Oryzias latipes: one gene and its partner. The main gene of each other region encodes a partner of the protein of the gene in region 2 in a complex. Links are inferred from orthologs where the notes say so. Each region holds a gene or a part of one and is shown on either strand. Other genes may lie near its edges.

Evidence for each region.
Region 1: strn3 (region 2) and stk25 share a complex: the UniProt entries of both Homo sapiens proteins name them as parts of the core of STRIPAK complex. The link is inferred for Oryzias latipes from reciprocal best matches to the Homo sapiens genes STRN3 and STK25.

Annotation. Positions count from the first base shown.
Region 1 is NC_019875.2:5,716,799-5,721,682, reverse strand, and holds part of stk25 (serine/threonine-protein kinase 25), read right to left. Parts: intron 3,969-4,884; coding exon 3,738-3,968; intron 3,625-3,737; coding exon 3,568-3,624; intron 3,445-3,567; coding exon 3,336-3,444; intron 2,231-3,335; coding exon 2,073-2,230; intron 1,926-2,072; coding exon 1,740-1,925; intron 994-1,739; coding exon 848-993; intron 664-847; coding exon 558-663; intron 483-557; coding exon 411-482; intron 342-410; coding exon 205-341; intron 123-204; coding exon 83-122; 3' UTR 1-82. UniProt on the Homo sapiens protein: Oxidant stress-activated serine/threonine kinase that may play a role in the response to environmental stress.
Region 2 is NC_019880.2:2,601,677-2,608,060, reverse strand, and holds the start of strn3 (striatin-3), read left to right. Parts: upstream 1-2,724; 5' UTR 2,725-2,985; coding exon 2,986-3,222; intron 3,223-5,135; coding exon 5,136-5,239; intron 5,240-5,881; coding exon 5,882-5,955; intron 5,956-6,384. UniProt on the Homo sapiens protein: Calmodulin-binding scaffolding protein which is the center of the striatin-interacting phosphatase and kinase (STRIPAK) complexes.

The DNA of each region.
Region 1 (4,884 bases), on a different chromosome or scaffold from region 2:
TGAGGGGGTGGGGCACATTTCATCTGACAACTTGAACAGGTGACGGGAAAAGGGGCGGCTGGCTCATCACATCCCGCTGGTTTCACCGTGAGGAGGGAGCGGTGTTTCCGTTTAAAGAAAACCTGGAAGACAGCAGGATGGCGGGTTAATGCGGGCGGCGTGTTGCACAGGCCAGCGCGGGCCGCACAGGGGCCGCCGCCTCACCTGCACACTCTCTCCATCATGTGCGTGACGAGGCGGTCGGAGATGCCCGGACACGACTCCTCTGCCAGGTTGAAGGCGTTCTCCAGCTCCTCTATGGCTCCTGCCCCGCCGCCACTCGCTCGCCGCTTGTCCTTCAGCTGGACGGGAAAAGCATTTTCTGAGCCCGCTCTGGTACGGTCTCTACAACTGAGATGCGTTCGGCTTACTTCTCTGAAGATGGGCGTTACCAAAGCAGACAGGCACTGGGACTTGGGCTGTCTCTTCATGGAGTCTCCTGACTGGAAGCAGGGGAACAGAGGTCAGAGGGTCACGGCAAACCTGTCAGGTCTGAGGCTCTGTGCTGCGGTTCTCACCCCCGACTCTAAATGTGCGTAGTCCATCTGTAACTGGCTCATAGAACTGGGCCTGACGGTGGGGAAGGTCCACACGGGACACTGCTCTCCGTCCCCATCAGCATCCCTGCAGGAATGACAGGAGAGGGGTGTTTAAGGAGGAGACGTGAAGACTCCAGACACAGAAATCCCAGCTCTGTTGTCACTCAGGGAAGCAATCGTGCACATGCAGCAGAACCCTCTTTGGTTCAGCGCCGGAGCATCTGCACGCTCTGCCATGCTGCTGATGAAGAGAGAAATTTGAAACGGACATGTCCGAGTCGTCTGAGCTGGACTCCTCTCCGTGTCCCTCCGACTTCCAGCGGCGGTACCGGTCTATCAGCTCCGTCAGATAAGCCGTCTTCTTGGTGTAGCGAGTGATGAACTTGTGCTTCAGCAGCTCCTTCGCGGTGGGCCTCTGTGAAGAGCCAGAACACCGACAGAACCGGGTCAGCACACAAGAACCCTGCAGCTGGGTTTTCCTTAAGATCAGACGCGCATGGTCCTCATGAGGAGTTATACCACGGTCCGGGTGAATCCTCGATTCTGATTGGCTGCTGGGTGTGCATTAAAAACTGTTAATGTACGCCTAAAAAAGAAGTTCCGGTCACAAAGCTTAGATGTTCTGTATCACTGCGCTGGCTTTAAAACAACCTTCATCTTCATCATTTGGACAAAAACAAGCGGTAAGAGGTGAACTTTCTCTCTGAACTGATGCTTTATTCAACCCATCGTGACGATCAGCATATTTATCACTTTCCTTTGCGGCTGCAGTCGAGGTTGGTGCCGTCATGTTACCATGACGACCCGCCGCACCACCTAACAAATAGTCCGCTTTTTGTGAAAAAAAGTGATCTAGACTGAAAAAATAACAAGATTAAAGGACTAAAAACTGGTTGAATATTTATTTCTTTTGAAAGTGACCAAGGTATAAGCGACACACTTTACTGTCCAGACTTCCTCGGCGTGCGTTAAATTCAGATTATGCACACTTGAAGGCCATTCTCCCTCATTTACCAAATGTCTCTCTTTTCCTCCTACATGACTTGGATTCATACATAAATGATCCGTTTTTTCTGCTGATGGTTTAAAACAACAAACAAGGTTTCACTAGAGCGCCATCACATGACAGAAGGTTGGAGGTGAAAATGCAGCTTCACTCACAAAACGGGGATCCTTGTTTAAACAGGCCTCCACAAACTCTTTAAACGGTTTGCTGTACGGCCCTTCCAACGTGGGAGGAGTGTTTTTAGGGATGAGGAACAGGACCCTCATGGGATGTAGGTCAGAGTTGGGGGGTTCCCCCTTGGCCAACTCGATGGCAGTGATTCCCAGAGACCAGATGTCCGCCTGAGTGTAAGGAAAGGTGAACCAAATGAAGCTTTTCCAAACAGAAATGAATTCAATGGCTGTTTCAAAAGCTCAGCATTCCTGCGCCCCCTCCCAGACAGGTCAGCACCACAGACGCTCTTCAGCTCTGGAACAGACTTCCCTCACCTTAAAGTCGTAGGCCGACTGCTTGATGACCTCTGGAGCCATCCAGAACGGCGTGCCCACAAACGTGTTCCTCTTGATCTGCGTGTCCGTCAGCTGTCCCGCCACGCCGAAGTCTGCCAGCTTCACGTCGCCTTGCTCTGACAGGAGCACGTTGGCAGCTAGGAGACAGACGTCAGTCACTGCCGTGTCCACTAACTAGCTAGAAAGACCTGCAGCCTCGGGTCAGGACGGCTAAAGAGGCACAACTAGAGGGTCACATCAATTGGAAGACAAAAAGTCAACACTTCAAAACAGGCTTAAGCATGATTCAAGTCTAAAAATATTGAACATTTGAAAAGAAATGTTTTTTTTTAATTTTGAACCTTCAATTTAAAAAACAAAACTTTAAAGCTTAAACTGTTACTAAATGAAAAATATTGTTTATTCATAACAGCTGCTGTTGTTTTTGTTTTCTTTTTTTATTCTTTAATTTCCGTTTTACGTTTAGAGTTTGAATTCAGACGTTCAGTCTTTTCTGCTGAACCTGAGTTAAGGAAGCTCATTGGCTGTCGTGACATGATTCCCATCAGCTGAAAGCGCTTCTGGTGCTTTCAGCTCTAAACTGGAACTACAAACTTTATAAAGAATATTTTTCATTTGGTAATAATTAAAAGTTTTTTTATTCGAGTTTCAAATCTTCCATTTTTCCCCCTCAAACTTTCAATCATTCTGGCACAGCGAGAGGGGGCGGTGCCAGAGGGCGGAGCTGTCAGAGGGGGCGGTGTCAGAGGGGGTGGTGCCAGAGGTTTTTATGTAGTTTTATGTATTATTTTAGTAGTAAGTTGTTTACATTTTTTTTTAATGGATGAATGTTGCACTGACCAGAAGGCACTTTTAATTTCATTGTATGTATGACTTTGACAAATAAAGATCCATCCATCCATCCATCCATCCTGGTGTTCTTGTGACTCTGATCTGTGTGTAGGTGTGGTTTTGAGTGTGTGTATCAAGCGATTGGAGCGTACCATTTAAGGGTTTTTTTATGTTTGGGAGACTTTTTGAATTTGTACTTAGTCTGAAGTTGATGTCATTTCAAGCTGTGCCTGCGTAAACTGTATTTTGGATTTGAACGTTTTTGATATTCGTTTACAACAGCAAGTACCCTCAGTTAAAGACAAAATGGATGGGTTACAAATCCAGAACCAGCACACACATTGGGTGAGTCCATTTCCCCTCCTGACAAGTTTCCTGGGTGAAGATTCTCTAAGTGGTCTTCCGTTTTACCTTTGATGTCTCTGTGAATCTTCCTCTCGGAGTGCAGATACTCCAGCCCCTTCAGGATTTCCCGCAGTATGGTAGCGATGTACGTCTCCTCCAGAGGTCCTGGGCGGAGCTACGATGACGGCGGGTAAACCAAGACATCAGAAGTAGGGCGAGAGAACCGGCAGGCTCTAAAAGTAAGCAAGGCGGCGTCTTGTGTAATTTGTAATCTCCATAAAAATGGAAATCTTCTTACCAGATCCAGAGCAGATCCTCCACCTAAATACTCCATGATAATCCACAGCTTGGTCCCCTGGGGGGTGGGGTGGGGTGGGGGGGGGGGGGGGATATACACAGTAGTTCAACTGTGGGAAATAAAAGCCTTGCTTGCAGGTAAACAGCAGGCAGTTGCAGCTTTTCTCTCACCTTGAGGTAGGACCCGTAGTATTTGGTAACATAAGGACTGTCACACTGGCTCAGCACTGTGATCTCTTGTTGGATGTCCTCTATCTCATCCTCTGCCTCCTCCAGGTCAATGATCTTGATGGCCACCACCTCCTTAGTGCGGTTGTTGATGCCCTTGTAGACCTCTCCAAAGGAGCCCTTCCCGATGCGCTCCTGCTTGGTGAAGTACTCCTCCGGGTCCAGGTGGGTGTTCTGGTGGAGGGTGGACAGAAGCAGCACCGCTGGCTGTTAGCACTTCCTTTCAAACAAGCATGCAGACACAGAAACGCTGCCTGCAACACAACACTGCTCCCTCCGTCACGGTTCATTTCGTTTCTTTTCCAACACCAGCTTTCAGGCGTGTGATCCTCAGCACTGCCAACTGCTGCGACAGCACCGAGAATTGGACAAGAACACGGAAAAGAACCCAAAGTATTTATAAAAACACGCAGGTCACACGTTACACCAGGGGTGAGCAAACAGAAGGCCGGACCAGGAGCAGATCAGTGCGGGGATAAGGTAATCCACCCCATGAGACAAGAGAAATAATATGGAATTTGGACAAAAACATGCTATAATTAGGATTCAAAAATAATGTATATATTTTAAACCATGATATCTTGGGGGTTTTTATTTGAAAACTGCGACTTTTTATTTTATTTTATGCTAATTCCACGAGTGGGTTGATGCCCCCCAGGGACAAACTCAGAGAAATGCTGCGTTCATGTAGTGTTGGGATGGTCGGAAAAATGCCCGTCCGACTTAGAAAAAAACACGCATCGACGTCAGAAAAACCGCAAACCTTCCAACAACTCGTGAATGCACAAACTTTTTAAAGCAAGGTCGACGTCTCTGTAGAGCAGCGTTTATGGGGAGACGGCGTGTAGCAGGGAGCCTCATCCAATAACTAAAGGAGCTGCATTTCCAGAAGAAAACGCAGGCTTGAGTCTATATTACTGAATGAAAAGGAAAATTAAAGGGTAATAATTGGCAAAAGAAATAAAGAAATAATCAAAGTTGACCATAAATAAAGTAAAAACAGCACAATAACAAAAGATATATTTTTCAAAAAAATGCCAGAGCCGGTATCGAACCAGCGAGCTTCTGCACCAAGGATTCCCCATGAATT
Region 2 (6,384 bases):
AACTTTATTGACTAAGACCAAACGGATTTACAGGTTTGTTTTGAAAAAAACTAATGAATCCTAAATAATCTCCACAGTTTCAGGAAGACTAATTTTTTAGACTTAATTATACTTTTAAAATCAGTTGGATTAAAACAAATTCTTTATGAACCCAGACTCACCATAAAACCTTATTACAGATTGTACATTTTCTAAACTTGGTGGCCTCTATTTTGTATTCTCCAATCTAACTATAAAATAATAATTTTAAAAAGAAAGTTTGGGGTTTTCTTGGTGTCATTATCAATATTTGTAAACGATTTTGTCAACAAAATTCAAATTCTGCCTACTATCAACAAACCTAAAGCTATCAATTACATTTTTTAAAAGTATTATATTTGCGGAATGTAACAGGTTACGTGAAGGTGATAGTAGGAAATTAAATCTTTTTGTATTTTTGTGTTATTTTATACGGAGCCCGTGTCCTGACATTAAGATATAAAAATATATCTTGTTCCCACAGATTAATATCTTGTTCCCACAGGTTATTATGTCGTTCGCACGAAATACTATTCCGTTCCCACAAGATACTATTCCGTTCCCACAAGATACTATTGCGTTCCCTCAAAATACTATTCCGTTCCCTCGAAATGATTAACTCGTGCGAACGCAATAATTATGTCGTTCGAACGCAATAATTAATCCGTTCGAACGCAATAATTATTCACGTCATAAGTCATTCACGCGGATATGCTCTCTGTACGCCGGCAAAAGCCGCTTTCAGCGGTAACTTCCGTGTCTCTGTGACCCATATTCGTTCAAAAAAGGAACATGAAAAACAAAAATGATCACTTTATTACCGTCTCAATGAATATAAGAAAAATATCAAAAGATTTATGATAACTAGGCTGCTTTGTCAAACGATAGCTCCTGCTAGGCTAGCTCCGCCGCAGAGCTCTCTGTCTGATCATGTATGCCGGCATTTGGGCAACTGGCTGGTCTGTTGTCAGACAGCTGATATTGTAGTTTAGGGTCGAATAGGAATAATAATATTCAGGACTTGTCTTTTATTAACTTTAGCAGTCAGTATTTTTACATTCGAAGGCTATTAGGCTACATGCTAACTGACTAGCCGATCATTTCCTGTTATTAATTTACGTCATAGATTTACAGCAGATACCTTCACATTTCTGTCTGTGTGTGTCTCATTACATTGCATTGAAGACACGGAGGATGTTTAGAGAACAGATTTATTTATTTTATTTATAAAAGCACAGAAGCATCCATCGTTTTCACGTTCACATCTGGTACGCCCTCAGTCATCTTGCTGCAAAAGCCGCTTCCTGCCGCTACTTCCGTGTCTCTGTGAGCATTCAATAGGGGTAAAAATAAAAGCAAGAATGGTCGATCTGTTATTTTCTCGATGAAAATCTGAAAAATATCATATTAAGCTGGATGCTTCGCCTAAAGCACTTACCTTTAGCTTGTAGCATAACAACAATAGCAGTACGTCCCGTTTCCCAGAGTGCTTTGCTGCCAATCACTAGCCAATCACCGTGTCCCTGTGACCAAGGTCTAACAACAAGACCAATGATTGGCCAGTGATTTGCAGCAAAGCACTCTGGGAAACGGGACGTACTGCTATTGTTGTTATGCTACAAGCTAAAGGTAAGTGCTTTAGGCGAAGCATCCAGCTTAATATGATATTTTTCAGATTTTCATCGAGAAAATAACAGATCGACCATTCTTGCTTTTATTTTTACCCCTATTGAATGCTCACAGAGACACGGAAGTAGCGGCAGGAAGCGGCTTTTGCAGCAAGATGACTGAGGGCGTACCAGATGTGAACGTGAAAACGATGGATGCTTCTGTGCTTTTATAAATAAAATAAATAAATCTGTTCTCTAAACATCCTCCGTGTCTTCAATGCAATGTAATGAGACACACACAGACAGAAATGTGAAGGTATCTGCTGTAAATCTATGACGTAAATTAATAACAGGAAATGATCGGCTAGTCAGTTAGCATGTAGCCTAATAGCCTTCGAATGTAAAAATACTGACTGCTAAAGTTAATAAAAGACAAGTCCTGAATATTATTATTCCTATTCGACCCTAAACTACAATATCAGCTGTCTGACAACAGACCAGCCAGTTGCCCAAATGCCGGCATACATGATCAGACAGAGAGCTCTGCGGCGGAGCTAGCCTAGCAGGAGCTATCGTTTGACAAAGCAGCCTAGTTATCATAAATCTTTTGATATTTTTCTTATATTCATTGAGACGGTAATAAAGTGATCATTTTTGTTTTTCATGTTCCTTTTTTGAACGAATATGGGTCACAGAGACACGGAAGTTACCGCTGAAAGCGGCTTTTGCCGGCGTACAGAGAGCATATCCGCGTGAATGACTTATGACGTGAATAATTATTGCGTTCGAACGGATTAATTATTGCGTTCGAACGACATAATTATTGCGTTCGCACAAGTTAATCATTTCGAGGGAACGGAATAGTATTTTGAGGGAACGCAATAGTATCTTGTGGGAACGGAAAAGTATCTTGTGGGAACGGAATAGTATTTCGTGCGAACGACATAATAACCTGTGGGAACAAGATATTAATCTGTGGGAACAAGATATATTTTTATATCTTAATGTCAGGACACGGGCTCCGTAATTTTATTTTTAGGTTTGGGGTCTAAATGTGTGTCTGGATTTCCCGGCATGCAGCGCGGCAGGATTCCCCCTCGCAGCCGTCACATCCAGGCGGACAGCAGTGATGGCGGCCGGTGAGACTCACACGTAAACACCGCCTCCAAGTCGCCGCTCTCCGCTAAGCGCTCAGGGGCAGCCGGCCTCTTCCACGGCGGCGGTGCCAGCGCGACAAGTACCCCGGCGGAGACGCGCGAGGCCTTCGGCGCCTTTTTTTTTCCTTCTTTAATATTTAAAATCGGTTAGCTAATCATTAAGTACAAACGGCGCCGCACGTTCTAACAAAACCCGAAATATGGACGAACACCCAGGCGGGGGAGGAGCGGCCTCCCCGCGGCCGCCGCCGCTGCAGCAGCACGGGAGCAACTCCGGACCTCCCATCGGAACGGTCATGGTGCCCCAGCAGACGGACGAGTTAGCCCGGCCACAGCAGCAGTACACTATCCCGGGAATTCTACACTACATCCAGCACGAGTGGGCCCGGTTCGAAATGGAGAGGGCGCACTGGGAGGTGGAGCGGGCCGAACTCCAGGTTAGTCCGTCGCTATGGGTTAGCTGCTTAGCATTAGCATGGTTAGCTTCTTTTTTTCCACAGTCACCGGGGATCTCAAATAACCTTTTATCGGTATACGTATTAACGTGAATTTAAGGTAGCGACCGGAGCCCCACTGACATGTCAAGGGGGACGAGTAACCGGCGTGGAGGTCTGTTATCCAGCCGGGAGTCTGAGTGCGTTGGCCGTTAGCTTTGGAGCCCGTGGCTCAACTGAGATATCGGGAGCCTGCAGCCGCCGTGGATACGTTAATCGTGCTGTTTTGACATTTGGACCAGATGTTGGTCAGATGTTGTTCGTGACAGTCAGACGACCCTAAACGAATGACCTTACCGATTCAAATCCGTGATTCTGGAGGTTTTTTTTAATCAACCTATACATAGAAAAGTGGCTTTTTCTGGTTCTCTGGTTGGCTGCGAAGCATCTTTCAGGTCACACCTCCCTCTGGAAGATCTCCTGCATTCTAGGTCTTTATTTGCTGTCAGTTTTTTTATTTATTTACATGAATTCCTGTACATTTTCCATTTGAAGTCTGTGGATTTCTCCTTGGAAACAGCCTGTAAACAAACATGACTTCCCGATGAGAGAAGCGGGATCTGGAGCTGCTCCATGTTCTTCATGGAGCTCCAGGTGTGTGTTGGCTTTGCCGTGTCCAGCAGCAGATCTGCTGCTTCTACATCTCAGTTTGTGTGACAGAAGCAGACCCTTTTGGGTTTTTAGAAGGAATATCTGGCATCATCTCAGCTGTGGAGATGTTTCTGTCGGGGGGGGGGGGGGGGGGACGCTTTAATAAAGGCTAAAAACAAAATGAGAGTGTTGGTAGTGATATCATTTCATCACCATTGAACAATAAGGTTACTCCTCAGAGCCATTGAACGTATTGTGAGTCTCCAGGATGAGGATGATGAAGAGGCCGGAGGATTCTGCTCTGATCCTGGTCTGTGATGTCACAACCCAAAGGATGGTCCAATCAGATATTTATAGAAGTAGGTGACCCTGAACCAACGTCAGGCTCTCACATCAAACTGCATGGATCTCCCTTTTGGAGATTTGATATTTAAATTCCCTTAAAATTTAACTCACGAAGCAGAAGGAGACACTGGTGGGTTTATAATAACGAGGAAAAAGGAGTTAGTTTTAACCAAAATATGCTTTTTTTTCCTGTTATGGCATTATGTCTGCGCTGTTATTGATGTACACAATATTTTACATAATAAATGTGTTTTTAAATCATTCTTTTTTTATTAGAAACTGTCGAATTCTTTCATTTTTTAGATTTTATTAAATTTTTCCTCCTCATGTTTTAAGTCTTTTTGTTCTTCTGCAATGTTGCCACTAGATGGCACTAGATGTTTACACAGCAACCTCAAAAAGCCAAAAATAAATGTAAAAAAAAAATCAATTGTATTGTATCTTCCAGCTTCCAGAGCCACGTTTTGCTCCTCTGGACATGAATTCAGAGCAAAACTCTGACAGTGTGACGTCGTCGGTCTTAAATAGCTGTACTGACACAACGACAGTGGCGTTTTAATGAGGTGACGTGGTTGAATAACTGCAGCCCACATGTGCTGTTTTGGTCAGGGGTGTTGAGAAGCTCCCGATGACTCACAGGAACTCTGTCTGGTTTGTCATCGCCATACATTTAGGCTGAGCTGCTCACCGAACCTCCTTTCCAGTGTCTGATTCATGTAGGTGTCACATGACCTCACTCAACTCAACAACCATGTAAACAATCTTTAAAGAGTGACTCCCATATCTTTCAGAAACCTATCATAAAGAGAAGATCCAGGAGGATTTGGTTTCTCTGGAAGTGACTCGGTTGTTTTCTTGACACAATATTTTTGTGTACATAAGAGTTTTGAAACATTTGTTTCTGTTCTGCGTCTTTCCAGGCCCGGATAGCGTTCCTGCAGGGGGAGAGGAAGGGCCAGGAGAACCTAAAGAACGATCTGGTTCGAAGAATCAAGATGTTAGAATATGCTTTAAAACAGGAAAGGTAGGAACCCCGACTCATCTCAATTTATTCATTTTATCATCTAAATGTTTGAGACCAAAGAAAAAAAAATCTCTGCCTTCAAACAGGAAAACGACTAAAATCCAGAGGGAATGCTTCACTTTACGAACAGAGAATTAGGTTCGTTTGGAAGTGATTTCATAGCAGAAAAACAAGTTTCAGGTCAGAATCAATGTGAAAAACCTTGACCCAAGCTTAAAGTTGATTCCCCTTGTGGTTAAAATCATTTTCATCTTTTAAAAACAAGAATTTTATATTAAAAGGATTAAGATTTTTCTCTTTGCTTTTGGTCTTTTGAACATCCAATTCAAAATATATCAAACATTTATTTCATAACATATCAGATATATTTTTTTGTTTAGACAATTAAACAGAAAATTGAGGGAAAGGCATCAGAAGAGGATCAGCAATAAGGACTGGACTGAAAAAGTCAGGAAAAGAAACGTTTTTAGGAAAGTTTGCAGAACTTTAAAACTGAATTCATAAGAAAAGTTTAAGGCAGAAATCAATTTAAAAAAACAATGTTTTCAAAGTCTGTTTACATGAAACGACTTTAGATTTTGAACTTGATCTTTGAGGTTGACATCTGTAAGAATAAATAATATTTTTTTCTCTTCCTCCTAGAGCGAAATATCACAAGTTAAAATATGGAACAGAGCTGAACCAAGGAGAGATGAAGATGCCAAGCTTTGAATCAGGTCTGAAAGTCTTCCTCAGTTTCATTTCTTGTTTCTTTCACTCTTTCCTAAACGTATTTGATGGATTAAATGCTAATTATCGGATGAGAAAACTGCTTTAATACATTAATTAGGGGGTGTTAGAAAAAATCGTTTCGGCGATATATCGCGATAGTTCATTTGGCGATACTCGTATCGATTCAAAATACTGTCAGGACGATATTTATTTAATTATTCTTCAGCGTCTTCAGCGTCTGACTCTTGCTGTCCACTTCAACCTCCGGCCACTAGTGGGCAGCAGAGAACATGGAACCTCTTTGAGGAGCTCTACACACAAGACAACAGGAAGACTGCAGCCAGAGTCAGCTTGTTTCGTTGTCATGCGACATGAACTACTTCATTTTTACTTGGGATGGGAACCGAACCATAACTCTGTTCCATGTTGCTGCA